Linked DNA regions of Macaca mulatta. The protein of the gene in region 1 purifies or fractionates together with the protein of each later gene. This does not show direct contact. Links are inferred from orthologs where the notes say so. Each region holds a gene or a part of one and is shown in the gene's direction. Other genes may lie near its edges. The genes, in order: CD81, IGSF8, PTGFRN, CD46, GNB1 and ITGB1.

Evidence for each region.
Region 2: the proteins of CD81 (region 1) and IGSF8 purify together in Homo sapiens (co-immunoprecipitation; 3 studies listed by BioGRID and IntAct, with this or other methods). This does not show direct contact. The link is inferred for Macaca mulatta from reciprocal best matches to the Homo sapiens genes CD81 and IGSF8.
Region 3: the proteins of CD81 (region 1) and PTGFRN purify together in Homo sapiens (co-immunoprecipitation; 7 studies listed by BioGRID and IntAct, with this or other methods). This does not show direct contact. The link is inferred for Macaca mulatta from reciprocal best matches to the Homo sapiens genes CD81 and PTGFRN.
Region 4: the proteins of CD81 (region 1) and CD46 purify together in Homo sapiens (co-immunoprecipitation; 3 studies listed by BioGRID and IntAct, with this or other methods). This does not show direct contact. The link is inferred for Macaca mulatta from reciprocal best matches to the Homo sapiens genes CD81 and CD46.
Region 5: the proteins of CD81 (region 1) and GNB1 purify together in Homo sapiens (co-immunoprecipitation; 4 studies listed by BioGRID and IntAct, with this or other methods). This does not show direct contact. The link is inferred for Macaca mulatta from reciprocal best matches to the Homo sapiens genes CD81 and GNB1.
Region 6: the proteins of CD81 (region 1) and ITGB1 purify together in Homo sapiens (affinity purification with western blotting; 4 studies listed by BioGRID and IntAct, with this or other methods). This does not show direct contact. The link is inferred for Macaca mulatta from reciprocal best matches to the Homo sapiens genes CD81 and ITGB1.

Annotation. Positions count from the first base shown.
Region 1 is NC_133419.1:2,302,451-2,306,454, forward strand, and holds the end of CD81 (CD81 antigen), read left to right. Parts: intron 1-8; coding exon of another isoform or gene 9-62; coding exon 63-137; intron 138-922; coding exon 923-1,027; intron 1,028-1,377; coding exon 1,378-1,479; intron 1,480-2,138; coding exon 2,139-2,225; intron 2,226-2,314; coding exon 2,315-2,377; 3' UTR 2,378-2,934; downstream 2,935-4,004. UniProt on the Homo sapiens protein: Structural component of specialized membrane microdomains known as tetraspanin-enriched microdomains (TERMs), which act as platforms for receptor clustering and signaling.
Region 2 is NC_133406.1:106,785,339-106,790,827, forward strand, and holds the start of IGSF8 (immunoglobulin superfamily member 8), read left to right. Parts: upstream 1-2,332; 5' UTR 2,333-2,479; coding exon 2,480-2,613; exon of another isoform or gene 2,614-2,642; intron 2,643-2,891; exon of another isoform or gene 2,892-3,003; intron 3,004-3,061; exon of another isoform or gene 3,062-3,244; intron 3,245-5,489. UniProt on the Homo sapiens protein: Member of the immunoglobulin superfamily (IgSF) that links tetraspanin-enriched microdomains to the actin cytoskeleton and plays several important roles in innate and adaptive immunity.
Region 3 is NC_133406.1:123,368,815-123,374,340, reverse strand, and holds the start of PTGFRN (prostaglandin F2 receptor negative regulator), read left to right. Parts: upstream 1-2,043; 5' UTR 2,044-2,334; coding exon 2,335-2,383; intron 2,384-2,714; exon of another isoform or gene 2,715-5,526. UniProt on the Homo sapiens protein: Inhibits the binding of prostaglandin F2-alpha (PGF2-alpha) to its specific FP receptor, by decreasing the receptor number rather than the affinity constant. Functional coupling with the prostaglandin F2-alpha receptor seems to occur.
Region 4 is NC_133406.1:65,500,379-65,505,267, forward strand, and holds part of CD46 (membrane cofactor protein), read left to right. Parts: intron 1-2,182; exon of another isoform or gene 2,183-2,242; intron 2,243-2,998; exon of another isoform or gene 2,999-3,034; coding exon 3,035-3,223; intron 3,224-3,627; coding exon 3,628-3,730; intron 3,731-4,889. UniProt on the Homo sapiens protein: Acts as a cofactor for complement factor I, a serine protease which protects autologous cells against complement-mediated injury by cleaving C3b and C4b deposited on host tissue.
Region 5 is NC_133406.1:238,918,416-238,922,684, forward strand, and holds the end of GNB1 (guanine nucleotide-binding protein G(I)/G(S)/G(T) subunit beta-1), read left to right. Parts: intron 1-1,400; coding exon 1,401-1,507; 3' UTR 1,508-1,516; intron 1,517-1,784; 3' UTR 1,785-3,031; downstream 3,032-4,269. UniProt on the Homo sapiens protein: Guanine nucleotide-binding proteins (G proteins) are involved as a modulator or transducer in various transmembrane signaling systems.
Region 6 is NC_133414.1:34,296,038-34,300,926, reverse strand, and holds part of ITGB1 (integrin beta-1), read left to right. Parts: intron 1-2,143; coding exon 2,144-2,382; intron 2,383-2,599; coding exon 2,600-2,822; intron 2,823-3,801; coding exon 3,802-4,034; exon of another isoform or gene 4,035-4,302; intron 4,303-4,889.

The DNA of each region.
Region 1 (4,004 bases):
TGTCCCAGGTCCCTTCCCACAGCCTGCCCTCTTTCCTCCCTCTGGCCACTGCCTGGCTCCAGTTCTTCACCTGTCTGGTCATCCTGTTTGCCTGTGAGGTGGCGGCTGGCATCTGGGGCTTTGTCAACAAGGACCAGGTGAGCCTGGGTGTGTGGGTGTGCCCCTCACCCGCCACACCTCCCCTGTCGTGGGTGGGGCGGGTGGGGGGGGCACCCTCCTCCCCTGTCGCGGGTGGGGCGGGTGAGGGGGGCACCCTCCTCCCCTGTCGCGGGTGGGGCGGGTGGGGGGCACCCTCCTCCCGTCGCGGGTGGGGCGGGTGGGGGGGGCACCCTCCTCCCCTGTCGCGGGTGGGGCGGGTTGGGGGGCACCCTCCTCCCCTGTCACGGGTGGGGCGGGTGAGGGGGGCACCCTCCTCTCCTGTCGCGGGTGGGGCGGGTGAGGGGGGCACCCTCCTCCCCTGTCACGGGTGGGGCGGGTGGGGGGCACCCTCCTCCCGTCGCGGGTGGGGCGGGTGGGGGGGGCACCCTCCTCCCCTGTCGCGGGTGGGGCGGGTTGGGGGGCACCCTCCTCTCCTGTCGCGGGTGGGGTGGGTGAGGGGGGCACCCTCCTCCTGTCGTGGGTGGGGGTTGGGCTGACCCATAGTTTGTGGGAGCTCTTTGGGCTCCTCCTGGGTCCCCCGTGCTAGGAGGATCTCCAGGGGCTTTATGGAGGAGGCAGCATTGGGGCTAAGCACAAGGCCAAGCTCCCGTGTCCCAACACCCCCTGGGCAGCTGAGAGTGCAGAGTCCTTGTTCTCTGGGGTCTGGCCTTGAAGCCACCCTGCCCAGGGAGAGCCTGGGAAAAGTGCGTCTGCCTGGGGCGGGGTGGGGTGGGGGCAAGGTGGGGGAGGCCCCCCCGTGCATGTGACCGCATCGCTCCCCCAGATCGCCAAGGATGTGAAGCAGTTCTATGACCAGGCCCTACAGCAGGCCGTGGTGGATGACGACGCCAACAACGCCAAGGCCGTGGTCAAGACCTTCCACGAGACGGTGCGGCCCGCGGGGGCGAGGGCGGGGAGCAGGGCTGCGGGAACCCGGCTGGGGAGTGTCTCATCCTGAACAAATCCTGCCTCCGCCCAGACCTCAGGAGCAGGAGGGGTGCCCTTGGGACCTCCAGGACCCCTGGGCTCAACCGGTCCTCGGGTGGGAACCTAGTGGGCCAGGCTGGCCCAGGGTGTGGAAAGCTCTGAGCAGCGCAGCTGAGGAGGAAGAAGGCCGGCCCCTGGATGCGTTCTGCAGTGGGGAGCGCTGCGTACCCTTGGCCGCCTCCCCGTGGGTTCCCCAGAGCCGCCATCCCCCGGGCACGTCCAGGGCTGACCTCGCACCCCCGCTCTGTGCAGCTCGACTGCTGTGGCTCCAGCACGCTGGCCGCTCTGACCACCTCAGTGCTCAAGAACAATCTGTGTCCCTCGGGCAGCAACATCATCAGCAACCTCCTCAAGGTGTGCGAGGCCGCCGGGGCCGCGCCTGATCCCCTCGCGCCGCCCAGCCCCTGGGTGGAGTCGGCAGGTCACACGGCAGCCCCACGGGGAGCGACCACGCTGGGTGGCGTGGCCCCTGCCAGGGCTGCCCTGCTGGGAGGGTAGGGGTGGGACTGCATCTGGCCCACGAGGAAGGCAGGCGCCCTGCGCTGCGCATGCCGGGTGAAGAAGGTGGAGGCTCTGGGGGGGCGGAACTCACCTGCACCCCCAGCTCCGCGTGTGCACTTGTGGGTGTGGATGCCCCTGACAGCCTGTGGCTGGCAGGGCCTGCAGGCCGTATAGTGCCCTGTGGAAGTTGCCTGCTGAGGCCTCAGTGGAAGTCGTCAGTGGGTGCACATCAGTGATGCTGTAGGGGTCTAGTGACACCAATGATCGTGATCTCAGGGGAAAAGGGCACAGTGTGTCCCAGGTATTTCGCGTTTATGTTAAAAAGGGTGGAAAATAGAAAGCTGGCAGAGGCCGGGCCGCTGCACCCACCTGGTCCGAGGTGGGTGGGGGGTGGGGGCTGTTTCCAGGATTCCCCTCTGCACTTTCTGTGGTGACCACGGATTACTGAGTGACAACAGGGAGCCGGGAGCTGAGGCCCGGTCCCTGACCACACGCGCCTGGCCACCCTGCAGAAGGACTGCCACCAGAAGATCGATGAGCTCTTCTCCGGGAAGCTGTACCTCATCGGCATTGCTGCCATCGTGGTCGCCGTGATCATGGTGAGTGGGCGGGGGCGGAGGGCCTGTTCTCTGGGCTGCCCCTTCCTCAGGGCCCTATGCTGACCGAGCGCCCCACCACCCTCCCGCAGATCTTCGAGATGATCCTGAGCATGGTGCTGTGCTGTGGCATCCGGAACAGCTCCGTGTACTGAGGCCCCGCAGCTCTGGCCGCAGGGACCTCTGCAGTGCCCCCAAAGTGACCCGGACACTTCTGAGGGGGCCATCACCGCCTGTGTATATAACGTTTCCGGTATTACTCTGCTATACGTAGCCTTTTTACTTTTGAGGTTTTGTTTTTGTTCTGAACTTTCCTGTTACCTTTTCAGGGCTGACGTCACATGTAGGTGGCGTGTGTGAGTGGAGACGGGCCTGGGCCTTGGGGACTGGAGGGCAGGGGTCCTTCTGCCCCTGGGGTCCCAGGGAGTTCTGCCTGCTCAGCCAGGCCTCTCCTGGGAGCCACTCGCCCAGAGACTCAGCTTGGCCGACCTGGGGGCCTGTGTCCACCCAGCCCGCCCGTCCTGTGGGCTGCACAGCTCACCTTGTTCCCTCCTGCCCCGGTTCGAGAGCCGAGTCTATGGGCACTCTCTGCCTTCATGCACCTGTCCTTTCTAACAGTCACCTCCAACTGTAATCACAACATCCTGAATCCGTCATTTAATAAAGAAGGAACGTCAGGCATGCTACCAGGCCTGTCCAGCCCCTCAGTGCCAGTGGCGTCTGAGACCTAGGGGTTGGCCAGAGGGTGGGGGAGTCCGGCACGGGTGGGGCTCGGCTCTGTGGACTGTGTGGGCTCCAGGGTGAGGGGGTGGGTTGGGATCCCTGGTGTTCACAAAAGGAGTCACTCTGTAAAATTTGCGGAGTTATTTATTCTGAGCCAAATAAGAGCACCTGTGGCCTGTGACACAGCCCCGGGAGGCCCTGAGAACTGGTGCCCAAGGTGGTCTGGCTACTTGAATTTATACATTTTAGGGACATAAGACATCGATCAATACATCTAAGATGTATGTTGGTTTAGTCAGAAAGGTAGGATGATTTGAAGGGGAGGGACTTTCAGGTCATAGGCGGATTAAAAGATGTTCTGATTAACAATTGGTTGAGTTTATCTAAAGACCTGAAATCAATAGAATGGACTGTCTGGGTTAAGAGAAGGAGTTGTGAAGACCAAGATTCTTCTTATGCAGATGAAGCCTCCGGATTGTAAATGTTTCTTATCAGACTTAAAAAGGTGCCAGAATCTTAGTTAATTATCTCCTGGATCAGGAAATAGACCCTGAAAGGGAGGGGGATTCTCTATTGAATGTAGATTTTCCCAAGAGACAGCTTTGCAGGGCCATTTCAAAATACATCAGAGAAATATATTTTGGGGTAAAATACTTTGATTTCTTTCAGGGCCTGCTGTCACGTTGGTATCTTATTGATACAGAGTCTGTTTTGTGAGTCTTAAGGTCTCTGTTTATTTTTAGGCAAGAGTTTCGCTCTTGTCGCCCAGGCTGGAGTGCAGTGGCGTGATCTCGGCTCACGGCAACCTCCACCTCCCAGGTTCAAGCGATTCTCCTGCCTCAGCCTCCCGAGTAGGTGGGACCACAGGAATGCACCACCACACCCAGCCAATTTTGTATTTTTAGTAGAGACAGGGTTGCGCCATGTTGGCCAGGCTAGTCTCGAACTCCTGAACACCCGAACTCAGGTGATAGACCAAGTGCTGGGATTATAGGTGTGAGCCACCACACCGGCCTAAGGTGTCTGTTTTAATGTGAATGCTGGTCAGCAGTGCCTGAA
Region 2 (5,489 bases), on another chromosome or scaffold:
GTATCCCTAACATACAGAACTATGTTCCCTGAGGGCAGGGGAGCAGGCCTGCCTTGTTTACCACCGCATCTCCAGTACCCAGTACCAGGCCTGGCCCAATCAATATTTGTTGAATGACTGAGTTTACAGGGTGGAGAGGCTTGGGAGGAGGGACAGTGAGGTGTAGGAAGATTTGGGGCTTTGGGGATAGACAAACCTGGGCTCAAGTCACCCCTTAGCCACTTAAAAACTGTGTGGCCTTGGGCAAGATACTTAACCTGTCTAATCTCAAGTTTCTCTTCTGTTAAATGACACTGCCTTGCAAAATATGCTATAAGGACTAGGACTAATATCCAAAAGGGCCTTCTTGTGTCAGCATTTCATAAATGACATGTCATTATTACAATTGGTAACGTCTTTCATCCCTCAAGCATCATGAAGGCATTCAATCCACTCGATGATTAAATCCATTATAAAGGGAAAGACGTGTTCATCCAAAAGCTTCCCTATGCGTTTCAGTTTTCACATAGCTCAGTATGCCTGTGGATGGATTTAGATGATGAGGCTCCGGAGCAACCAGGCTGTGGATATTTCAAAGTGGGAATAAAAGGCACCCTACTACCCTGTTCATGGGCCAGTGCTGGCAGTCCTGGGAGGTGAGGGCTGGACCTCTGACCTCCCTTCAAGGCCCCAAACATTTGGCCTCAGTTTCTCTGGCTTCTCCAGGGTTCCTCAATGTGGCTTCTACTGGCAACCCCATGAGCGTCTTCTCAGAGTCAGGCACTCTGCCACGCTTGAGGAATACAATGTCAAGGAAGGTCTGGTCTGGCCTGTGCCACTTACCCTCTCTGGGCCTCAGTTTCCTCTTCTGTAAAGGGGGGGTGAGTGAGTGGGAGGGAAGAGGGGAGAGGGAGGGTGTTGGAGGGTAGAGGGTGGTAAATGGGCTCTGGGATCACCTCCCACTGACAGCCACTCTGACAGCCTTGGCTTTGCAAACCTGGCCATCTCTTCTCCCCATTTTGGTCTCATCCTTCCTGCCCTTCCCCACTCCCCATCTTTACAGTTCAGGAAGAGACAGAACACCTGGGAAGGGTGCCTCCTCCATTCTCCCACCTCCAGGGCAAGCCCCACTCTTCCCAGAACAATGTTCATCTCTTCCCACTGTCACTGAACATAGACACTCCTTCACCTAAACGCCAGGTCTAAACTAGGTCTAAATTAAGCCTCTTAGGAAGCAGTTCAAATAATAATTCAAAAACTAAAACAAAATAATCCTTCGTTATCTCCCATTTCGTGTTAGTTTCCTGTGCCAAACACTTTATGTACATTACCTATCATCCCCTTTGGGTGGTGTGATCAACCTCAATTCAATTTGCAGAGGAGAAAACTGAAGTTGAAGGAGGTTAAACAACTGGGCTAGGATCACCCAACCCAGAAATGACGTCACATGGACGGCCGCCTCTCCCAATCCATTTTTCTTTTGGTTTTGCCCTCTGAGGGGGTGAAAAACAGGTCTCCAGTGACCTTGTGGATCCTGGAAGCGCCCTTCAGCTCAAACCCTTCGCCTTTAGGAACTCCTGGGTTCTGCCAACCCCTACTTCAACAGGGTTTGCAGCGAGGACTATGGCTCAGAGAAAATAACTGAATTCTAAATGCGTGGCCACAGCCAATCCCAGGGCCCCTGCACCCAATTCTCCAGGAAAGGCTGGCAGGTGCGGGGTGGGGTGCGCTCTGTACGAGGGTGGGTGGGAATTTCGATGCGCCGAGGTGCAATTAGCTCACTCTTGCCGGGGCCTCGGGCGGAGCCAGGGCCAGGGGCGGGGCGAGACCGGGGTCCATGGCGGAGTCAGGTTTGGAGGCTGACGTTAGCCCTGGGGGGACTGGGAAGGGGTGGGGCTTGGGACTGGGGCGGGGCCGGGTCCCGGGGCGGAGCCAAGATTGTAGTCCTACTGTAGTCCTGGTGGGGCGGGGCGAGGGAGGGGCCGGAACTGGGGCTGGGCCGAGACCCGGGGCGGAGCCAGGGCTGGAGTCTTGCGGGACGGGACGGGACGGGGAGGGGCGGGGAGGGGCGGGGAGGGGCGGGGAGGGGCGGGACCGGGGCGGGGCTGGGACTCGGTGCGAAGCAAAGGTGAGTTTCGAGGGTCAGGGCGGGGCCGGAGCCAAGTGCGGAGCGAAGAACTGAGTCTGGCGGGGTGGGGCGGGCCGGGCCAGGGCTGGGTCCGGGGCGGGGCGGGCTTAGACGGGGCGGAGGAAGGGGCGGTGCCGGGGCGGGCTGGGGCTAGAATGGTCTCAGAACTGCCGAGGGCTGGAGGGAAAGCAAGGGGAGGGGCGGGGGGAGGGGCGGAGGGAGGGGATTCGGCAGCTCCAGCTCAGCTCGCTCGGCGCACCCACGCCTCGCTGCCCAGCTTCCTGCCCCCCACCTGGGCATGCGCCCCCCACCCCACCGGTCCCCCAGAACCCGCGCCATCCCCCGGAGCCTCCCCAGAGCTGGCCGCGCAGGATGGGCGCCCTCAGGCCCACGCTGCTGCCGCCGTCGCCGCCGCTGCTGCTGCTGCTGCTAATACTAGGTAAGTCAGGCCCCCGTTCCGGTTCCCGGCCCCGCCGGGCAGGTGCCTGCCACCCAGCACCTCCCGAGCATTTCGGGGCTCCTCACATCCTCCTCCGTCAGGGGTACCTCCAGCCTCCCCGGGGTCGGCGGCCAGCTGCGCTTTGTGGCTGCCCGCCGAGCCAGTCTTGGGAAGAGTGCAGGCTCCCCAGCTCTAAGTCAGGGAGTGGGGCACAGGGAGGACCCACTAAAGTGCTGCCCCAGGCACTGCTTGGCCTCCTGGGGCAGGCCCCACTTCTCAGCTAGCATACCCACGTCCTGGGGTCGCTGCACCAAATGCTGCGACTCCTTTCTGCCCCACACTCAGCTCCAGGCCTGGCCTTGGGTGCCCGCCCTGCGTGGGCAGTGCCTGCCCAGCTTCATAATTGCCCTAGAGTTGGCTGGAGGCCCAGAGGCCAGTTCTGCCCACGATCTTTGAAGTAAGTCTCTCCCAATTGCGCTCCACACACTTCATCAACTGGGGGCAGTTCTCTCTCTCACCCCCATCTCCATCCCAGGTTGGGTCCCTCTTTGCCCTTCTTCCTCTCTCCCAAATGGCACTTGGCTCTGCAGCCACCCATCAGTTTTCACACCCGCTTAGTTCCAGCTTCCTTGCCTCAGGAGAAACCAGGTTCCATGGAGACTGATCCTGGGATCTCAAAGCACCTTGTGCCTGCTGTGGTGGGTGTTCATGGTGGGTTGTTCTGGGCTAATCTTGCATGGATGCCTGGGGGTAATGACAGTGGAATTGTTTTTGGCCTGAACTGGAAGGCTGCCTGTAGGAGGTGGTCTGGGGAAGAGTATGGCGTGGAGAAGTGAAACTGCCAGTACAGATGTTGATGAGGCTGAAGCCCTTGAAATGAGAGTGAAGCGTGGAGGTGGGGATGGTGACTTCAGAGCTGCTGTTGTCAAGGCAGAGGCTGAAGGTAGCCCCAGCTGCCTGTTTCTAGACCAGGGCTCCACAGTGGCACCAAGCAAAGCCTTCCCCTGCTGCAGGTCCCTGGGCCCTGCAGGGCTAGGATGAGTCCTCTCCTTGGTCCCTGGGCAGGTGGCAGGAGGATGTACAGAGAGGAAGGCTCTGTGGGACCTGGGTTGCCTAGCACTTGCTGTGTTTTCCCCAGCGGGCAGCATGGAGCAGGGAGGAGCCCAGGGAGGTGGGGAAGTGCTGGCCTGTGGTTGAAAAAGGAGCACGCAGACGTCTGAGCACCCACTGCCTGTGGGCACTTACATTCATTTCACAAGTGAGGAAATTGAAGTAACTTGCCCCAGAGAGCACATTTAGTGAGTATTAGGGCTAGGATTTGAACACAGATCTGATTCCAAAGCAGGCCTCTTTGCTCTCCCTTTCCTCGCTGCAACTAATACAGAGGAGGTGAGAGAGAGCTGTGTGGCAACTGATTTCCTAAGGCTGTGGAGGTAACTTTCCCATGGGGATCTCCAAGCATCAGCAGTTGTGGAGCCAGGAAGATGGGAGGGGGCCTTCTGAGCAGTCTGCCCCGAGGCAGTCAGGGAAGGTGTCAGCTTGGCCGTCTCCACCATCACCCTGATTATGAAACTTGCCTGGCCTGGGGCAGGGCTCTCCTGAGTCACATACGCACTCATGCATGGTCAGAGCTGGAGCTCTTAGTTCTCCTCCAGTGTGGAAACCGAGGCCTAGGACAGAAAGAGACTGGATCCCATGCCACACAGCTGGGCATGGGGATGGTGCTGGAATCTCACTTCCTGATTGACAGCCTGTGCCCTTAACAACAGACCATGAGTTCTCCCTGTGACTCAGCCAGAGGATAAAGGAAGGGGCTAGGAGCCCAGCAGCAGGGGTGGGGAAGTTCAGAGGAGCCATTCTAGAGAAGCTGGAGGGTAGAGTTTGACCACAGACTCCTGGGCATTTTCCTCTAGCTTCTGCAGAAAGTCCATGGTATCCCCCTGGGAGGCCTAAAAGTGACACTCTGGTTGGTGAGGTCAGTCCCTTCAGGCCTGGCCTTGGAGTTTCCCCATTTTCCTCCCTGGTTTTGCCCCTCTGGAGGAGGGTGTGGAAGCCATCTAGGGACAGCATGATCTTGGCTAAGATATTATACTTTTCCTGCCTTACCTTTCTCATCTGTAAAATGGGGAGGGGGGGAGGGGTAGCCTAGCCCTCTTTACATTCTGAGGTTCTGCGATTTTATCTAGTGGGAGCTATGGAAGGAGAGAAGGGAGGAGCTAAGCCCTCTAAGTCTGCCAGGAGTATCTGCTGGGGTAGAGTTGGGCATAGGGGTGGAGTAGGGTGAAGAAGAGAGGTTTGACCTTTCTGAAGGGAGAGAGATGAGAAGGGGCAGCTTGGGATTTAATGCCTCCCTACAGAAAGAAAGCCATATATGTAAATGAATGCATACCATATGCAAATGAAGGCTTTGTTAAGGAACTGGGGCAGGCGCCTTGTGTGTCTGCTGGGCTAGCCAGGAAGGTTGGCAGGCACTGGAGGAGGGGATCTTCTGCCCCAATGGCGAGAGCAGAGCCTGGACCTTGCCCCAGAAGCCCCAGCTGCCTGGGCAGCCCTGTGGGGTGAGAGAAGCAGTGAGCTCATTGCGCAGCTGGAGGGGGGAGGGCATTGTGTGGTGAGAACTGACTGGGCCTGTGCCCTTTCCAGCTAGGGTCACTGGCTCCATTGTCTGGTCCAGGTGACACAGCTGAGCCAACTAGCACTTCTGAGCAAGACTGCCAGCTCCCCTCAAGCAAAGGGGAGGGACATGTAGTCTCAGCATCCCCCAGCCAGAAGGCTCCCCTGGCCAGGCACTGAGGAAGGAATGGCAGACATGGAGGTGGGTGAGTGGCAGGGACAGATCAAGGTTTAGCTGGAACCAAAGCCTGGTTAGGTCAGGAATCAGATGTACTCCTTTCTGCCTTCAGGCGCTCTGCTTCTAGTCCACCAGAAATGGGATGCATCTAG
Region 3 (5,526 bases), on another chromosome or scaffold:
GAATGTGACCAAGTGCCACAATGTATGGTTCAGACATTAAGTTTTCTAGGTGGTTAAGAAAAGGAAAGATGAAGGATGAGCTGAAATCTGAGCTGCTGAAGGTGCCAGGCCTCACATTTCTCTGAAGCTCCACTATCTTCCAAGGCCTAACATTAGGCTTGCATTCAAGGTTGATTGAATGAAATTGGAAAACTTCCCTGAAAAATTCTAGGGAAGAATTGGGATGGGGAAGATAAAGGAATTACAGTGTGTATGAACAGAACCAGGAAAGGCTTGGTGGCAGAAAAAAATTTAAAAAAAAATTATTGTATAAAATGTACATAACACAAAATTTACCATTTTAAAATTACAACTTTTTTTTTAGAGACAGTGTCTCACAATGTTGCCCAAGTGGTCTCAAACTTCTAGCCTCAAAAACAAAGAAAAAAGAAAAACAAGAAAAAGTTTTGGCCCAGTGGCTCAGACCTGTAATCCTAGTCCTTTGGGAGGCTGAGGCAGGAAAATCGCTTGAGCCCAGGAGTTCAAGACCCGCCTGGCCAACATAGGGAGACTCCAGTGTCTACAAAAAAATAGAAACAATTAGCTAGAGTGTGGTGGCACACATATGTGGTCCCAGCTATTGAGAGGTGGAGGTGGGAGGATTGCTTGAGCCTGGGATGTCAAGGCGGCAGTGATTCCTGATCGCAGCACTGCACTTCAGCCTGGGTGACAGATCGAGATCCTGTCTCAAAAATGAAATAAAGAAAAAAGACAAAACAAATAAAAACTCCTGGTTTCAAGCAACACCATCCTTGCCCCCGCTCCCGGCCTCCCTCTACCCCCGCCCCCGCCCCCAACTTCAGTCTTCTGAGTAGCTAGCATTACAGGCACCAGTTACCATGCCTAGCAATTTTAAACATTTCTAAGTGTACCATTCAGTGCCATTAAGTACAATAACGTTGCACCACCAGGAATGAATTTTTAAGACTCTTTCCAAAGGGTTCATACCTGGCTAATCACACATTTGATAGTGGAAATAAGAAACATTTGTTGGTTGAAACACGGATGCATGAGAGTAAAAGTAATGTTCTTCCCCTGTGTGAGTGTGGGCAGTTTCCGCATAAGCATCTGTGATCCGTTTTCCACATGTGAATGAAAGCCCAGTGAGGGGCAGTGGGCACCAGTCCTGCTCCTTGCGTGTCTGAATCATGCTTGCTAAGTTTCAAGCAAGGAATGCTCCGTTTCTCCCAATACCCGTGGGGCCTTTTGTATTCAAATCAAAAGCACAAAACTCTATTGTGGGGGGAAGTATGAGTCTTTATTGGCAACCAGTGGTGTCCACTTAGAGCAAGAAATATGAAGTCTTAACAGTACATTCTATATGAAGTACTATAGCTATTAATACACTTGGGTTTCGTTTGTTTTTTAAATGGGTGTCTTTGTGTGGAGCTGTTCTAATCAGTGCCACAGGCGCTGAGGAGAGGGAGGGTGCTGGGTAAGGAGGAGGCAGGCCCACCCAAATCACCGGGGAGTGGGCAGTCAGGACAGCGGGGTTCTGATTTTGCCCCTTCCCTGTGAATCCTTGGGCACCTCACCGAAACACTTAAGGCCTCTGTATGGTAGACGTTGGAATCCGTGGCCTTCAAAAGTCCTTTCAGCTCCTTCGCTCCCATCTGCGTAATTTTTGGCATAGGCCAAGCGGCTGGTTGCTGGGGTGTTTAGCTCAGGACGCGAGGCCGAACGAGCGGGCAGTTGATTGAGGATAGACTAGACACGCGTGGGTGACTCCAGCGTGATGGAACGCGGGGTGTCCCGGGATAGGGCTAAAGCGAAGGGATTTCCAGACGAGTCTTTCCCAGGCCAACTTTTAAAGGTCGGAGGAAAGTTTCTCGTGGGGTGGGGGCCTAGAGGGGAAGGCAGGGTGGGCTCCGACGCCTCCTCGCCTTTAAGCGGGTGGCCCCTGCGCTTCCTCCGTTACCTGGAGCGGGGAGGGGCTTGGGAAAGTTTGTGTTTGTTGCTGGCAAAGCGCCGGATGGGAGGCGCGGGCGGGCGGGCGCTGCGGTTCTTCCCTTCTGCTTTCGGGAAGCGGTCGGGGCTGCACACTCGGATCGGCGGGGCCGGCTCCCGGGCCCGGCCGGCTGGAGGAGGGAGGGAAGGAGGCGGGAGGGAGCGAGCGGAGCCAGGGGCGCACGTACGCCCCAGCGCTGGGATTTATCGGCTCGCGAGGAGAGCGGAGCAGGCGCGCGGCCCAGGCGGAGGAGCGCCGACTCTGGAGCAGCCGGAGCTGGAGGAGGAGGAGGAGGAGAGGCGGCGGGGAAGGAGGAGGAGGGGGAGAGTCGCTCCCGCCGGGCGAGCATGGGGCGCCTGGCGCCGAGGCCGCTGCTGCTGGCGCTCCTGTCGCTGGGTGAGTGTGCGCGGGGCTCAGCTGGGCGCAGGGGGTCTGGCAGGGCCCTGGAGGGCTCGGCGGGGCGCGGCTGCAGCGCGCGGCCTGGGTCACTGAGGGTGCCCGGGCTGCTCCCGGGAAACCCGGCCGGGGTGCGCGGGCTGCTTGGCCCGGCGGGGAGCGGCCGCGGGGCCGCCCGGAGCCTGGCGCGAATCAGCCCGGGCCCCGCGCGCAGGGTGCAAGTGGCGGCTCCGCCAGGCCGAGCCTCGCCCCCAACATGTGCCGGGGGGAGTGGCCCGGGCCGGCTTTCCCCAGCCCTCCCTACCTGTTGGCCGCCGGGAGCCCGGCTCACCTTGAACTCCCGGCCCGGAAGGTGCTGCGGTCCCGGCCCGGGTCCCCCGCTCGAGAGCGGAAATGTGAGCCTTTGATATGCCCCGCCATAGCCGCCGCCGGCCGGGTCTCTCTTCGCCCAGCCCGCGCGGAGTTGCCTTTCCAGGGAAGCGAGAGAATCCTCCAACTTCCTTCCACGAAGGTCACAGGGTGGCCCGGAGCGTTACAATGGAAATCGGCGGGCGAGTCCTGCCGTCATTTTCGTCGTGGCTAGATTGTCTGTCTCAGTCTTTTCTTTTAGCTTTTCTTGAAGCTGCCTAGCTGCGTATTTATACACAAAGACCTAAGAGCCTGGCTTCTCCAACTTTTTCTACCTGTTACTTTTCCTCCCTTACTGTCCCCTCATCTTCCACCCTCCGGAAACCCTCGGTGCCCCGTGAGGTTTTGGCCCAGCGCCCTCCCCCCACCCAAGGAATCTTTTGTGGGTTTTTTCCCTCTCCATTTTCCATTCACTCCATACACAGACACCATCTTCACGTAGATCCACATGGTGATCCTAGCCAGCCACGGAAATATGTTTATTAAGTGCCCACCATGGTACCCCAGGGCCGACTCTTAAATGCTTTGATATTCTTGGATCTTTGTGGTCAGTGTCAACCAGGACAAGATGATTCTTATGACCCGGCCTGGGGTTCTCTTCCAAGCCCCTAGAGAAGGCAGATCTGAGTCTTTTACAGAGCGCATGGTGTGCGGTGTCCGTCCCATCCAGGTCCCAGCTGCACACAGGGCAAATGACTACTCTGCACTTATGGTCGGAGGGTCCCAGAGAAGGCCTTCTATAGCCACTCCCCTACTGGGGACACCGGGGGCCCACACTGCTCTAAGCCCCGTGACTCCTGCTGCTGGTAAACCAGCCTTGCTAGCTTCTGTTTTCTTCCTTCACCTTGAAGAGATTTTCTGAACTGACTCCCTCAGAGAGCTCGTCCAGCCACATTGCTTCAGCTTCAGCCCATGTGCAGAAAGCTTCCAGATCTTCCACTTAGTTTTATGGCATCTTTTCTATAGTCCCTGATCCTAGTGCTTTGTTTTTATTTTTGAAACAAAGCCTCACTCTGTCACCCAGTCTGGAGTTCAGTAGCACAACCATAGCTCACTGAAGCCTCAAACTCCTGGGCTCAATTGACTCTCCCACCTGAGCCTCCTGAAGTGCTGGGATTACAGGCATGCTCCACCACACCCGGTGGTAGTGCTTTTAATCTTTACTTTTCACTGCGGGACCCTTGTAAGTTGTATGTTAGTGGTGCACTGCTGTTATAGTCCACACACAATTTTTATTGACTGTGTGTGTCTAGGTCAAGCAGGGCCGTGGCCTGGGTTTGCACAGATTGTGCACTGTGCAACTTCGGGAGCTGCTGTTCACTTTGTAGTCTGTGTGAATGACTCCCCCTAGAGTTGTGCAGTTCTTTGAACAACCTGGGTACCAGTTATGAGGGTGGGATGAGGTAGAACTTTGAAAACTTTGAAAACAATGCCCTTGAGTAATCATAATGAGGGGGGAAGAGGGAAGGGGGCAAAGAGAGACTGACAAAAGCAAAATAGAAGTGGGGAAAGCACAGCTTGGGGAAATCTTGATTGTACTCCAGCATATCCTGTCCTGGCTGGATGCCTCCTATGAATTACACTGGGAATTTCTGTGGTGTCACTAGCCGGTGCCTTTTTACCTGACAGTTCTCTGAACCATTGATGACCCTCCTGATAACTCTGCTGCCACAGAATCTCACTTGGCGTGACTTCAGCCTGACCTCTGGGAAGGTCTCCCTGTGTTACACTACTCTAGCACTGTACTGATCCCTGAAATGTAATACATTGATAAGCAAGATCATCTTTTCTCCTAGGGAGTAACCTGAGTATAATCTTGGTATCACTGCTCTTTTTGACCTCCACATTCACATAGTCTCTCAATTCTTGCGTCTCCCCATAGCACAGACTCCAGCTTCTTCCTTTCCTTCCTGTTTCTACGGCTACTGTCTTAGCCCAGGTCCCAATTGTTTCCCACACAATTGGTGTCTTCGTGGTTGGTTATTTCCTCCAGCCTCCCTTTTAAGCTCATCCTTTTCCTAAATGATCATTTTTGGGGCTCCCACCTGTTCTCACTGGGTCCTTATGACTTTCCTCCAAGGAGATGTTGCCCCTAGTGTCCTCCCCTCCAGTCTTCTCTGGCTGACACACTTTGTTCTATCTAACCTGTTTGCTCTCCTTTATGTAGACTATATTAAACTTTCCGGCCCCTTCTACTTCTCACCTCTTGCCTGTGTATTAGTATTTCCTTTTTCCCCTAAAACTCACTTTCTCCATGAAGCCTTTCTAAACCCACCTACCATGATCCCACCAGAACCCACCCAGCCACATAGGGCAGGTTTCACATCCATTGCCTGTGTCTGATCTGTCTTGCCCGTCCACTCAGTGTGGCATTTCTTGAGTGGCCACTCAAGAAATGTGCCACATTCACAGAGAGAGTGCCACTCTGTGTGCAACCGTGTGTTCAATACTGGGAGTCCCAGACAAATGACCAAGACACAGCATCTGCCTGAGCGGCTGGTGGGTGTGAGTGGACAGAGAATAAAATAGCTAACCACAGGCCTGAATGAAATACCTGACGTGGAAACCAAGTGTGGGAAACAAGGAAGGGGATGATTAATTTTGACTTGGGGGTTGGGGCTGGTTTTGCTGAAGAGGTGACATTTGAGCTGAGCCTTGAGGATAATTAGAATTTTGAAAGAAAGGATAGAAGAGCATTCTAGGCTCTGGGGAAAAGCCTGAAGTGTGGATGAGTG
Region 4 (4,889 bases), on another chromosome or scaffold:
CGTCCCCGCCCCCACAACGTCCCCGCCCCCACAACGTCCCCGCCCCCACAACGTCCCCGCCCCCACAACGTCCCCCATCTCAGGTTGAACATACAACCCGGTTCAAGTCCCTCTTCACTTGTAATCACCCTTTTAAAATGACCTTTTCTGTTCTTTGTCTCTCCCTGTTAGAATGCAGGGATCCTGCCTGTGTTGTCAATACTTGTGGTTCCAAAAGCCCCATTTGTTTGCCTCCATATCTGTTAAATACCAGAAAATTAAATATACTATTCGGCTGGGGATTAGAGCCTAGGAAAAAGCTCCTCCTGCCTCCAAGAGGAAGGTTGTTTAAAGAGCTCTGCTCAGGATGGTCTTTCTGTGGTACCTAAAAAGCTAGGGCAGGGGCAGCTGAGGGCCAGAAAGGATCTGTCTCCCCTGTTTGTGTTAACTTTGCAGAGCTTCCGGTACTTCAGTCTTGCATCTCACTGATCATTAAAACGTTCATTTTGAAGGAGGGTGATGGGAGTAGGGAGCAGTGGTGATAAGAAAACGAGAGGACTTTTTCTTTTTGTCTTTTACGATTAATGCTTAGAATAGGCTTAGTGCTAGAAGTGCGGCCTGAGCAACATAAGGAGAGCCCACCTATACAAAAAATTTGCCCACTTATACAGAAAATTTAAAAAAAAAATTAGCCAGGTGTGATGTTGCACGCCTGTGGTCCCAGCTACTTGTGACGCTGAGGGGGGAGGATCACTGGAGCGCCCGTGGTCAAGGCTGTAGTGAGCCCTGATTGTACTCCAGCTTTGGTGACAGAGTGAGAGACCATGTCTCAAACCAAACAAAACAAAACACAAACACACACAAAACAAAACAGGAAGTTGAAGAAGATGATGAATGCGATTTGAAATAGAGGAACATACAAAAATAAAATGAATAGGGTGCAACATGGAAGATAAAACTAAGAATGAAGAGAAGGAAAAACAAGGTTAAGTTTGAGGTTCATAAGCATAAATCAAGACAGGTATGAAACCTAGAGAAAGTAAAAATGAGAACTCACGATGTTAGGCAGAGAGAATACATGGATTAAAATAAACATTCAATTTTTGGAGCAACTCAGTCTCACAAGGAGAAGATTTTGTAAGCAGACAGTGCTGTGCATGGGAGACCTGCCCTCTCAAAAGTAATTGCCAAATGGTTCCAGATAGCTGAAGGAAACAATGTATCAAAGTTCAGGCCAGTCTCATTCATTCCTCCAGTAGAGGAACTGCTTTTTTGGACAAAATCCCCAATCTCCTGTTGTGTGTGGTCTCTTCTGCCTATTTTAGGTGTTTTCCTTATTTCCGATGAAAGAAGCCAAGATCAGTAAGTGCTTACACAGTAGCTTCTCAGTTGCTTACTCGGCATACTACCATGCAAAGAGAGCAGTCCATATCCGGTCACCTGCCAGGATACCAGAAGACTGGGAGATAGGCAGCACGAGAAATGGCCTAATCTTCTTTCTCCACTGTGCTGTAGAATGATTGTTTTCAATATGAAATTGGTTACAATATATTATTCACATTGTTTTGTGTTTGACAGCAGTGGACTTTGAGTACCAATTTTTTTGTGGATGGCTACTATGAGTGACATATTGTGCTGCGTGTTGTGGCTGCATGGATGAATGGAGTTGGCCATGTTAACTATTAAACACAAAAGCATGTGATAATTACCTGAGAGATCCATGCAGGGGAGAGTCCAGGGGAAGGTGACTGATCACAACTTCCCAGGGAGAGGCAGAAAATGCTTCCTGGAGGAGATGATGGGTGGATTAAGGAAGATAAGAGTTGAGCAGGAGTTGTAGCTACTGGCCAGGGAGGAAGGGTATTCAGAGCAGAGGGAGCAAGGTGAGCAACAGCACCAGGATGTGACACTACTGGACTGCCAAACTACTCAGTGTGGCAGAGTAGGGCAAAAGAGGCAAGAAATAAGGAAAAGGATTAAATCACAGGGCAAGTAATTCTGAAAAGCAACAGGCTTATCAGGAATAAACACTCATCATCATAAACTCAGACTTTCACGTTATTATCTGCCCTTTTAGGGCAGCTTGAGCCTTTTGTTTGACTTAGCACAACATGAATCCAAACTAGGGTTGTTTGATCTCCCCAGGCACAGTAGCAGACAATTTATTGAATACTTATTGGCAGATAGAGTTTGTCAGTGTCAGCATTTCTTTTTTTTTTTTTTTTTTTTTTTTTTTTTTTTTTTTGAGACGGAGTCTAGCTCTGTCGCCCAGGCTGGAGTGTAGTGGCCGGATCTCAGCTCACTGCAAGCTCCGCCTCCCGGGTTTTTTACGCCATTCTCCTGCCTCAGCCTCCCGAGTAGCTGGGACTACAGGCGCCCGCCACCTCGCCCGGCTAAGTTTTTGTATTTTTTAGTAGAGACGGGGTTTCACCGTGTCAGCCAGGATGGTCTCGATCTCCTGACCTCGTGATCCGCCCGTCTCGGCCTCCCAAAGTGCTGGGATTACAGGCTTGAGCCACCGCGCCCGGCCTAGTGTCAGCATTTCTTGAGCACCCACGAGGTGGGTGGAGTCTAGTAGAAAAAGAAGAACATGTTCCTTGAACCCCAGGAACATGCCTTTTAAGAGAAGATAGCCTGAAGCGACAAGCTATTATAAGTTAGTGTTTTAAACTATGGAAGAACAACCTGAGCAGAGTGCTCTATACTGTAGAAGACTTCTTAGAGGAGAAGTTACTTTTGAAATGCATTTAGAAAAATGTGGGGAAAGATGCGTCTGTATATTTTTTAAGACCAAAGACATTAATGCTGTCTCTTCAGTTTATTGGTGAATGCTTATTCCCAAAGAAACCAAAAGCTAATAGGATTGTTACTTAAAACATGCAAGTCCCATTTCCTCCACTACTACCAGCACTCAGGTAAAAGCATGGAACAATCATTTAAAATCTTGCCAAGGGCCTTTCTGTTTTTTCTGTACTACTTGCTGCCAGACCACAGTCATGGCTCGTTAAAGTGCTATCAGTACTTCATCTTCATGTTCCTATTCTCTTATCCCTAGATGCCTGTGAGGCGCCACCAACATTTGAAGCTATGGAGCTCATTGGTAAACCAAAACCCTACTATAGGGTTGGGGAACGAGTAGATTATAAGTGTAAAAAAGGATACTTCTATATACCTCCTCTTGCCACCCATACTATTTGTGATCGGAATCATACATGGCTACCTGTCTCAGATGAGGGCTGTTATAGTAAGTAAACGAGCCCCCTTTTTTTTTTTTCTGCTTGCTCTAGAGATTCCTTCCTTCCTTCCTTCCTTTCTTCCCTCCTTCCTTTTTTTTTTTCCTGCTTGCTCTAGAGATTTGCACACATTTTGGGGTACATATTCCACTATGGTGATAATGATTTTCTTCTTGTGGAATGAGGTTTAAGATAGCAATGCATTATTGCAGGCTTTGAGAAATCAAAATCTCCAAGAAATCTTTTTCCTGGCAGTAGATTGCCTAGGTGAACATGAAACTGAAATTTGCCCTTATAATAAGTAAATAAAGAAAATAATATTCCCATGCATTCAAAAGAGCACTGCAGAATTTTGATTCTGATTCAGATCTGTTTTATAACTGGATTGAAAACCGTCAAAATTATTTTCTTTTAGGAGAAATGTGTCCACATATACGGGATCCTTTAAATGGTGAAGCAATCCTTGCAAATGGGTCTTACGAGTTTGGTGCTGAGTTACACTTTATTTGTAACGAGGGGTAAGTTGCTCCTTAGAGGAAATAAGGGAAATGTTAGTAATTTTATTTTTGTTTTGCTTCTCTTCTTAAGCTTTCCTGTAAACTTAATTTTGCTTTCTATGTGGCAAGTTATACTTCTAGCCAAACAACTCTTGGATGTTTTATGGAGATAGGCAAGATATTAAAGTAAGTAGAAAATAATTGATACTGAAGGAAAGCAAAACTCCTTGTTATTTCTGACAATAAGTCTGTTGTAAGCATTAAGAATGTAGTAATCATGAGAATTTATCCTTCACAACTGAGTGTCCCCTATTTAAATCCGCCAACTGTTAGAGTTTAAGTAGGGCTCACAAAAATGAGAAATAGAATTGCCAACTACAGATACGCTTGTATCCAGATGACTCTGTTAAGTGTTACCAGACCAGACCAAAACTGACCTGGTTAGCCTTTACCATCATGTTCATCAAAATCTCTCAGTTGAAAAACCTTATTTTTGAGACTGCTACAATGTGAAGCATCTCAAAAACCGGTACTGAGCGCTCAGTAATAGCCTTTGTTCTGTAGAGATTTTGAAGTCTTATATATTGGAGATACTAGACATTTGAGATAAATGTGCATTTAGAGAGTAAATGTAATTTTCTGTCCATTTTCTCTTGCTAAAACAGAACACTTAAGGCTAGGCATTTATAAAGAAAAGAAATTTATTTGGCCTATGTTTCCGGAGGCTGGGAAGTTCAAGGGGATGGCAGTAGTGTCTGGCAAGGGCTTTCATGCTGCATCATAACATGCTGGAAAGTGAAAGGGAAATGTAGCACCTGCAAAAAAGACAAAGCACAAGGGAGGGGCTCTCGCTTTATAACAATGTGCTCTTGTGGTAACGAATCGAAGCCTACAAGAATGAGAGCACATTCCCTCAAGAATTAATGAACACCCTCTAGAAAGGCATTATCCTGCTTAATGACCTAATCATTTCTTAAAGGCCCCACCACCTCTCAGTGCTGTTACACTGGCAATTAAATTTCAATATGAGTTTTGGTAGAGACAAACCAGATTCAAACAACAGCAGTAATACACCATAATATAGAAAAAGTAAGTGAGTCTTGGAGGAAAAATCAGCTGTGACTATGTAAGGCAACTGACAGTTTTTAAAATTTGGTCAAGTAGAAATATTGGAATATTC
Region 5 (4,269 bases), on another chromosome or scaffold:
AGGGTCAGTGGGCAGGAGAGGGTCAGCTGTGCAGGCTCCAGGGCCCAGTCCCATGTTTTCCCCTCTGAACTCTGCATCAGGGGAGCAGAGCGCCATGCAGGGACACCTCTGGGTGCTGTTACAGTTAACATATCAAAGGCAAGCATGTTATTGCCAGGTGTATTAAAACACTAGATGTACAAAAGATGAGGCTTCCTTACTAAAAGTAGACATTTGGGCATTTCAATTTGAGAACTGTTGACACTTACAGACTCTTAGATTCATTCGTCTCAGTACCTGGGAGGACAGAAGAAGGGAGCATGGCTCCAGGTCTTGGCCCTTACCGGGGCTTCCTGCTTCCGGATGGGTGCCATTCTCATGTCCTGGTTAAACACCCTTGTTTTTCTCCCCAGCCTGGGGGGACCAAAGTGGAGCCATTTCCGGCCAAGTCCCACAGTCATAGTGCTGTTGAAAGGCGGTGGAAGCCAGCCCAGGCCTTGGCAGAGCACACACTGGCCCCTATGCTCAGCTGTGTGGTGTCTGCAGGAGGTGGGGGAGGGTGGCTGAAATGGGCCTTCAGATCCCCCTGGGAGGAAGTGGAGCTTCTGGCTGGTGATGATCCAATCGAAGGTTATTGAGTGTTGACAGAAGGCCCCCCTCACCATGTGACAGTGACAGTGCCAGTGGTCTCAGCCACCATCGCTACTCCTGTGTTCTGTGCCTTGTGCTGGGCTCTAGGGATCACAGACGAAGGAAAAACAGCTCATGCCTCTAAGCTTCTGTGTTACAGTTGCTTTGAGATTGGGGTGGTTTTGATTTTTCTTTTTTTTTTTTTTTTGAGATGGAGTCTCGCTCTGTCGCCCAGGCTGGAGAGCACTGGCACGATCTCAACTCACTGCAACCTCTGCCTCCCGGGTTCAAATGATTCTCCTACCCCAGCCTCCCGAGTAGCTGGGACTATAGGCCCGCACCACCACGTCCTACTAATTTTTGTATTTTTAGTACAAACGGGGTTTCACCATATTGGCCAGGCTGGTCTCAAACTCCTTACCTCGTGATCTGCCCGCCTTGGCCTTCCAAGGTGCTGGGATTGCAGGCCTGAGCCACCGAACGTGATGATGGTTTTGATTTTTTTGATTGTGGCCTTTGCTTATTTTTTGAGTTTTGTGAGTGCTGAGAAGTCAGTGCCGGGGGTTCTGGATTTATTGATTGTGTGTGTGTGCGTGCCTTTGAATTTTAATAAGGCTGGCCATATGCTGCAGTTTAATTCCCACGTGGACACAACTTTCCCTCCCTTCCTGGCCGTGGGAGACTCTGGGTCTTGTCCCACGAGGGGCTCACCATCCGCCCTCGTCACAACATGGCACACAGGTCACAGGTGAGATCGATACCTCTGTGATTCTGCTGTTGTTTGCTTCCAGGTGTCTTGGCTGGGCATGACAACCGCGTCAGCTGCCTGGGCGTGACTGATGATGGCATGGCTGTGGCGACAGGGTCCTGGGATAGCTTCCTCAAGATCTGGAACTAACGCCAGTAGGTAATGCAGCAGCCCAAATGTCCTTCTCTGAGGAGAACTGTGCGTGTTTCTCATAGAACGTGTGAAGTTGTCATTAACGGTTTCTAGATAAATGTTGATGTAGCACTGATTTGGAATTGTGTTGTGGGAAACGTTTACAGAAATCTGAAGTCACATGCCCTCAGCCGCAGACACTCATGCAGTGGTGGGAAGAGCAGTGACCTGACTATGCGTCTGCACTTAGATTCTCTGCCTCTTTTCACATTTCTTTAAACTCTGTTTAAAACAGCATGTGGATGCCATGGAGACTGGAAGACCATTCCAACTTGGACGCGTTACCATGAGAGCATATCCTATCCAACCGTACTAACGTGGACACCCTACACCTCCCCTCAGAACTTCAAAAGGGCAAGATCTTTTTTCCTTCACTTATTGCTGAAACCAAGAGCACAATTCCCAGTAAGAGAAGGATCTCTGTGCTGTAAAACTAAAACAAATTGTGCATTCCTTCCGGGGCCATCGTCTTTGTTTTCTTTTTTGTCTTGAATGAATTTTAAAAGGAAATATATAATAAAAATGTTAACCAGAAGGTAAACTTGAGTGTAATTGTGAGACAGACACACCTTTCCACTAGTTTATTTGAATTTTAGACCAGTGACCCTGTTTTGTGGCATTCACGCAAAACACGCTGAGGGCTTTGTTCATCTGGTCATCGTGTCCAAATTTCAGTCATGTTTGTAGCAAGATTTTGGAAGCATTCATATTTCCTTTTTAAAATATATTCCTTTGTGTTCAACAGTTAATCAAAACCAGAGAGTCTAGGGCAGCCTCTCTGGCGTTGTCAGTGATGTAAATTCAGTCCCTGATTTTTAATTTTCTGTCTAGTGTCACAGATCATTGTTGCACACAAACATGGCATAGAAAAGAACATGTTCAGAAGCCATGGGGCCAAGCACATGTGGGGACGGTCTCGAATGCGTGATCAGAGAATCCTTCACCTTTGCTGAAAAGTGAGCTCAGATCCAGCACCATGTTCCTCCTGACCCATCCTGTCTATCTTCTCAGTTGAGTTTTTAATCTCACTTTGGGTTTCCTTGTGAAGTTGGAGGGAAGTTTATAATAGCCTAACACTACCCCACCCCCAACTAGGAGGAACCTCTGTTTTCAAGAGAGATGCCTGTCCTGTGCTTGGATAGTCAGTCAATTATTTGTGTATGAAACAATGTACAAATCAATGTTTTGAAAATAATGATCTCAGACTTTCTAAGTTAAATTTTAAAAATTTTGATTGTTTGCCATATTGGGTGGGTTTACTCTTAGAATCGCATGCTGTAGAAATGCTCAAAAGTGCATATAGGACTCAGTCCTTAGGTGTTCTTTTTCTTTAAGAAATAACCTCTTACAGTTGTAACCATTGCGGCTCTGTCCACTTCTCGTTGCTGCTCTGTGGCACATATCGGAAGCAGTACAGCGCGCGGCTCTACACGCTTGGGTAGCGGGATAAGTCACTGTTTTCTTTATTTCTTTGAAAAAAAAAGTTCTGTTGCAAACGACTGCTGTTGGATTCTGAGGGTGGGGAGGGAGGGAGGGAGGGAGGGAGGGGGAGGGAAGAGCCTGCCCTCCCTTATGGATTCTTCAGGGCCTCCGCCTCTGAGGCGGCTCATTCCCATCACACAGATTGTCCTGGTGTTCATTTCAAGGCCAGTGTTCAGCAGCAGCGTTTGGAAAGCAGGTTCTGTGGGACCCCCCCCCCCCGCCCCGCCCCCCGCACTCCTTCATAGCAGCAGTAGTGGCTTCTCCATCCTGTTTTCTGCAACATTCTATACAAAACTGTGCTGTGACCTTGCGGTAGGCCTGGATCTGGCAAAGAGAATACAAATGAAACCCCTTCTTTCTCTTTCCGTCCAACAACTCTGTAGAGCTCTCTGCACCCTTACCCCTTTCCACCTTTTGTATTTAATTTTAAAGTCAGTGTACTGCAAGGAAGCTGGATGCAAGATAGATACTATATTAAACTGTACTGTTATTTAAGATGTAATAAAGCAGTTTGACATGAGGGACTTTGGTGTGGTGATTATTTACGGGTCCATTTTCAGTTTACGACACGCCCACCTCCCTAGGCTTACCCTGCTGCTGTAAGGTCTGACAGGTGTGGTCATGCCAGGCAGTGCCTTGGCCACCAGCACGTCACAGAATCCATGAGTGGCGCATTGGCTCCTCGGAGGGGTTCCTGGGAAGCTCCACCTCACAGGCCAGCGGAGCAGGGAGGTCCACCTGCCATCCCCCAGACCCCTCCCCGTGCATAGGCCTTGCCCACAGCACCGTGGGAGTCTTCACAGGCGGCTGCCTTGCCTTTCTCCTCTGCCGTTTCCCTCCCTCAGAATGTCTGAGGATGTGACTCCAGAGACTCGCTTTCCTTGGGACTGAACCGAGTGTTCCTCTTGGTCTGAATCAAAACTGCATCTCGTAAGAAAAAATAAGAACACTGACCACGGTAGAGTGGAAAACCACGGCTGCACGTGTCCCAAATAGCTGCTCCTAGGTTCTGGAACCATCCACTTCCCTGCTTTCCAAACTGGTGATTTTTTAAAATCTTAAATAGGCAATACAAAATTAGCTGGGCCTTGGCCGGGCGCGGTGGCTCAAGCCTGTAATCCCAGCACTTTGGGAGGCTGAGACGGGAGGATCACGAGGTCAGGAGATCGAGACCATCCTGGCTAACACGGTGAAACCCCGTCTCTATTAAGAAATACAAAAAACTAGCCGGGCGAGGT
Region 6 (4,889 bases), on another chromosome or scaffold:
TTTGGCATGTTTTTGCAGTGGCTGGTACCGGTTGTTCCTTTCCATGTTTAGTGCTTCCTTCAGTAGCTCTTGTAAGGCAGGCCCGGTAGTGACAAAATCTCTCAGCATTTGCTCGTCTGTAAAGAATTTTATTTCTCCTTCACCTATGAAGCTTTGTTTGGCTGGATATGAAATTCTGGGTTGAAAGTTCTTTTCTTTAAGTGTGTTGAATATTAGCCCCCACTCTCTTCTGGCTTGTAGAGTTTCTTCCGAGAGATCCGCTGTTAGTCTGATGGGCTTCCCTTTGTGGGTAACCCAACCTTTCTCTCTGGCTGCCCTTAACATTTTTTCCTTCATTTCAACTTTGATGAATGTGAAAATTGTGTGTCTTCAAGTTGCTCTTCTCGAGTATCTTTGTGGCATTCTCTGTATTTCCTGAATTTGAATGTTGGCCTGCTTTGCTGGGTTGGGGAAGTTCTCCTGGATAATGTCCTGAAGAGTGTTTTCCAACTTGGTTCCATTCTCCCCAACACTCTCAGGTACACCAATGAGACATAGATTTGTCTTTTTACATAGTCCCATATTTTTTGGAGGCTTTGTTCCTTTCTTTTTACTCTTTTTTCCTCTAAATTTCTCGCTTCATTTCATTCATTTGATCTTGAATCAATGATACCCTTTCTTCCACTTGGTCAAATCGGCTACTGATGGTTGTGCATGTGTCACGTAATTCTTGTGCCATGGTTTTCAGCTCCATCGGGTCATTTAAGGTCTTCTCTATGCTGTTTATTCTGGTTAGCCATTCGTCTAATCTTTTTTCAAAGTTTTTAGCGTCTTTGCGATGAGTTCAAACATCCTCCTTTAGCCCGGAGAAGTTTGTTATTACCGATCATTTGTAGTCTTCTCTCAGCTTGTCAAAATCATTCTCCGTCCAGGTTTGTTGCGTTGCTGTTGAGGAGCTGTGTCCCTTTGGAGGAGAAGAGGTGTTTGATTTTAGAATTTTCAGCGTTTCTGCTCTGGTTTCTCCCCATCTTTGTGGTTTTATCTACTGTGGGTGTCTTTGATGATGGTGACGTACAAATGGGGTTGTGGTGTGGTTGTCCTTTTTGTTTGTTAGTTTTCCTTCTAACAGTCGGGACCCTCAGCTGCAGATGATGGTGACATACAAATGAGGTTTTGGTGTGGATGTCCTCTCTGTTTGTTAGTTTTCCTTCTTTGTTAGTTTTCCTTCTAACAGTCAGGACCCTCAGCTGCAGGTCTGTTGGAGTTTGCGGGAAGTCCACTCCAGATCCTGTTTGCCTGGGTGTCACCCGTGGAGGCTGCAGAACAGCAAATATTGCAGAACGGAAAATGTTGCTGCCTGATCCTTCCTCTGGAAGCTTCATCTCAGAGGGGCACCTGGCTGTATGAGGTGTCAGTCGGTCAGATGTCTCCCAGTTAGGCTACTTGGGGATCAGGGACCCACTTGAGCTGGCAGTCTGTCCGTTCTCAGATCTCAAGCTCCATGCTGGGAGAACCACTATTCTCTTCAAAGCTGTCAGACAGGGACGTTTAAGTTTGCAGAAGTTTCTGCTCCCTTTTGTTCAGCTCTGCCCTGCCTCCAGAGGTGGAGTATACAGAGGCAGGCAGGCTTCTTTGAGCCACGTTCAAGCTTCCCGGCCGCTTTCTTTGCCTAGTCAAGCCTCAGCAATGGTGGACGCCCCTCCCCCAGCCTCACTGCCGCCTTGCAGTTCGATCTCACTGCTGTGCTAGCAGTGAGTGAGGCTCCGTGGGCGTGGGACCCTCCAAGCCAGGCGCGGGATATAATCTCCTAGTGTGCCATTTGCTAAGATTATTGGAAAAGCGCAGTATTAGGGTGGGAGTGTCCTGATTTTCCAGGTACTGTCACAGCTTCCCTTGGCTAGGAAAGGGAATTCCCCAACCCCTTGCACTTCCCTGGTGAGGCGACGCCCTACCCTCGTTCGACTCACAGTCTGTGGGCTGCACCCACTGTCCGACAAGCCCCAATGAGATGAACCCAGTACCTCAGTTGGAAATGCAGAAATCACCTATCTTCTGCATTGCTCATGCTGGGAGCTGTAGACTGGAGCTCTTCCTATTCGGCCATCTTGGAACCTCTTAAATTATTTTTGTTTTGTGTGATTGCAATTTTGGAATGTTTCTTCAGGTGCAACGAAGGGCGTGTTGGTAGACATTGTGAATGCAGCACAGATGAAGTTAACAGTGAAGACATGGACGCTTACTGCAGAAAAGAAAACAGTTCAGAAATCTGCAGTAACAATGGAGAGTGCGTTTGTGGACAGTGTGTTTGTAGGAAGAGGGATAATACAAATGAAATTTATTCTGGCAAATTCTGCGAGTGTGATAATTTCAACTGTGATAGATCCAATGGCTTAATTTGTGGAGGTAAGTAAAGGACCTGAAGTGCTTGTAAGACGTGATCTCATCTAATGCCACAAAAAATCTAGAGTTTACTTGGTGCATAAGTAGAAGAGGGGTAGCTCGAGGGTCAGTTCTGCCCCAGGTATACTTTCTCACACGTTGTTGCTTATTTTACTTTTCAGTCAATACTGTGATTGTATGTTTTTACCATTAGTTTGAGAAATGATATGCTTAATTGCAGGAAATGGTGTTTGCAAGTGTCGTGTGTGTGAGTGCAACCCCAACTACACTGGCAGTGCATGTGACTGTTCTTTGGATACTAGTACTTGCGAAGCCAGCAACGGACAGATCTGTAATGGCCGGGGCATCTGCGAATGTGGTGTCTGTAAGTGTACAGATCCGAAGTTCCAAGGGCAAACATGTGAGATGTGTCAGACCTGCCTTGGTGTCTGTGCTGAGCATAAGTAAGTATTTCCTAATTGCTTGAAATAGTTGATACTTCCTCTTGGCTCTCCAAAGCCTGTGTTGTTACTAGAACCGGAACAGTGCCAGTATTAGAATATACTATAAATAAAATGCCTGCCACGTGGAAGCCTACTCTTTAATTCCTAAAAATTTTTTCTCAACAGCTAGTATGTATTACATGGTATGAAGTGTGTCATGTGAGAGTTGTACTATTATTTTGATCTGAATGTGGTAGATAATTGAATTTACATGGTAACCTTTATTTTGGCAATTAAGATTTAATTTAGTTTGTCATTACCAATTTCTTAATTACTATCTTTTGACAAAACTAAGCCAAATTAAAGATTTTTCCTCTTGAAGGATTATTATACTAGTAACATATTTAAATTATTTAAATATTATGATTTTGGCCGAGGACAGTGGCTCACACCTATAATCCCAGCACTTTGGAAGGCCGAGGCAGGTGGATCACTTAAGGTCAGGAGTTTGAGACCAGTCTGGCCAATGTGGTGAAACCCCATCTCTACTAAAAATACAAAACTTAGCCAGATATGGTGGTGTGTGCCTATAATCTCAGCTACTTGGGAGGCTGAGGCATGAGAATTGCTTGAACCCGGGAGGCAGAGGTTATAGTGAGCCAAGGTTGTGCACTGCCTGGACGACAGAGCAAGACTCCATGGCAAAAAAAAATTATTATGATTTTATGTTACATATTTAATACGTGATAGGGCTAATTTATTTTACTATCTTTTATTAATAGTGTTTTAATTTGAACTGTAATCTTTTATTATGGAAATTAGCATCTTTTTACATAATTTTTCTATCCACAAATGTAATGCATCTCTTCATTTATTCAGATCCTCCTTCATAGCTGTTTGTTCAATTTGGTCACAAGAGTTTAGCATGGGAAATATGTTTAAGCAAATATTTATTGAAATAATAAAATTTAAATATAATAATATGGTTTTTTTTTAACAGAGAATGTGTTCAGTGCAGAGCCTTCAATAAAGGAGAAAAGAAAGACACATGCGCACAAGAATGTTCCTATTTTAACATTACCAAGGTAGAAAGTCGGGACAAATTACCCCAGCCAGTCCAACCTGATCCTGTGTCCCATTGTAAGGAGAAGGATGTTGACGACTGTTGGTTCTATTTTACATATTCAGTGAATGGGAACAATGAGGTCATGGTTCATGTTGTGGAGAATCCAGGTAGAAATGCGATGATTGCAAACATTCTTTTCATATCTTGTATGTCTTGTTTCTGCTTATTTAGGCCTAACATCCAGAAACAGTCTCCAGCTGGAATATTTTAGGTCAAGTTGGGAAATTTTTCATCTTTCAAAGCTTAAGATATTACCTAATTAACTGTATAAGAAATAAGGAAAACAGAGTTCCACTTTTAAGTTTTCTAAGTGGAGAGTTTGAAGATTAAATGCAGTGATTTATATAAGACACTTAGAACGATGCCTGACACCAAGTGCGTAGTAAGAGTTTTTTTTTTATGATTGATGATTTTAAAATTAGAGCTTGATTTAAGTTTGAATACTAGGAAAGATAATTTGTTAAAGGATATTAATGTAAAGTGTTGATTTTGTTCAACTTCTCTGAAGGTGAAACTTTTTTTTTTTTTTAATCTTAGTTTTCCTGGTAGCCTTTTTGTAGATTCTTTAGAATTTTCTACCTTAGTGTATATGTTTTTGTGTAAACATAAGCTTTCATTTCTCTTGGGTAAATAGTAAAAATGGCATTTTGGAGCATATGGTAAGCATATGTTTAACTTTGTAAGAAGCTGCCAGGTTCTTAGAGTCCTGTAGTGTTTTGAATTATCATCTAGGTGTTTTGCAAATATTGTCTCCCAGCCTGTGCCTCCTTATCGTTTCATTTTTTTAAGTGTCTTTTGAACACCACAGGTTTTAATTTTGATTAAGTACAGTTTACCAAGTTTTTCTTTTGTGGCTCTTATTTTTACATTGTCTTTCAGAACTCTGCCTAACCCAAGATTTTAAGGATTTTTCTCCTGTGTTTTTTTCTAGAAGTTTTATAGTTTCTGGGGTTTCACATTTA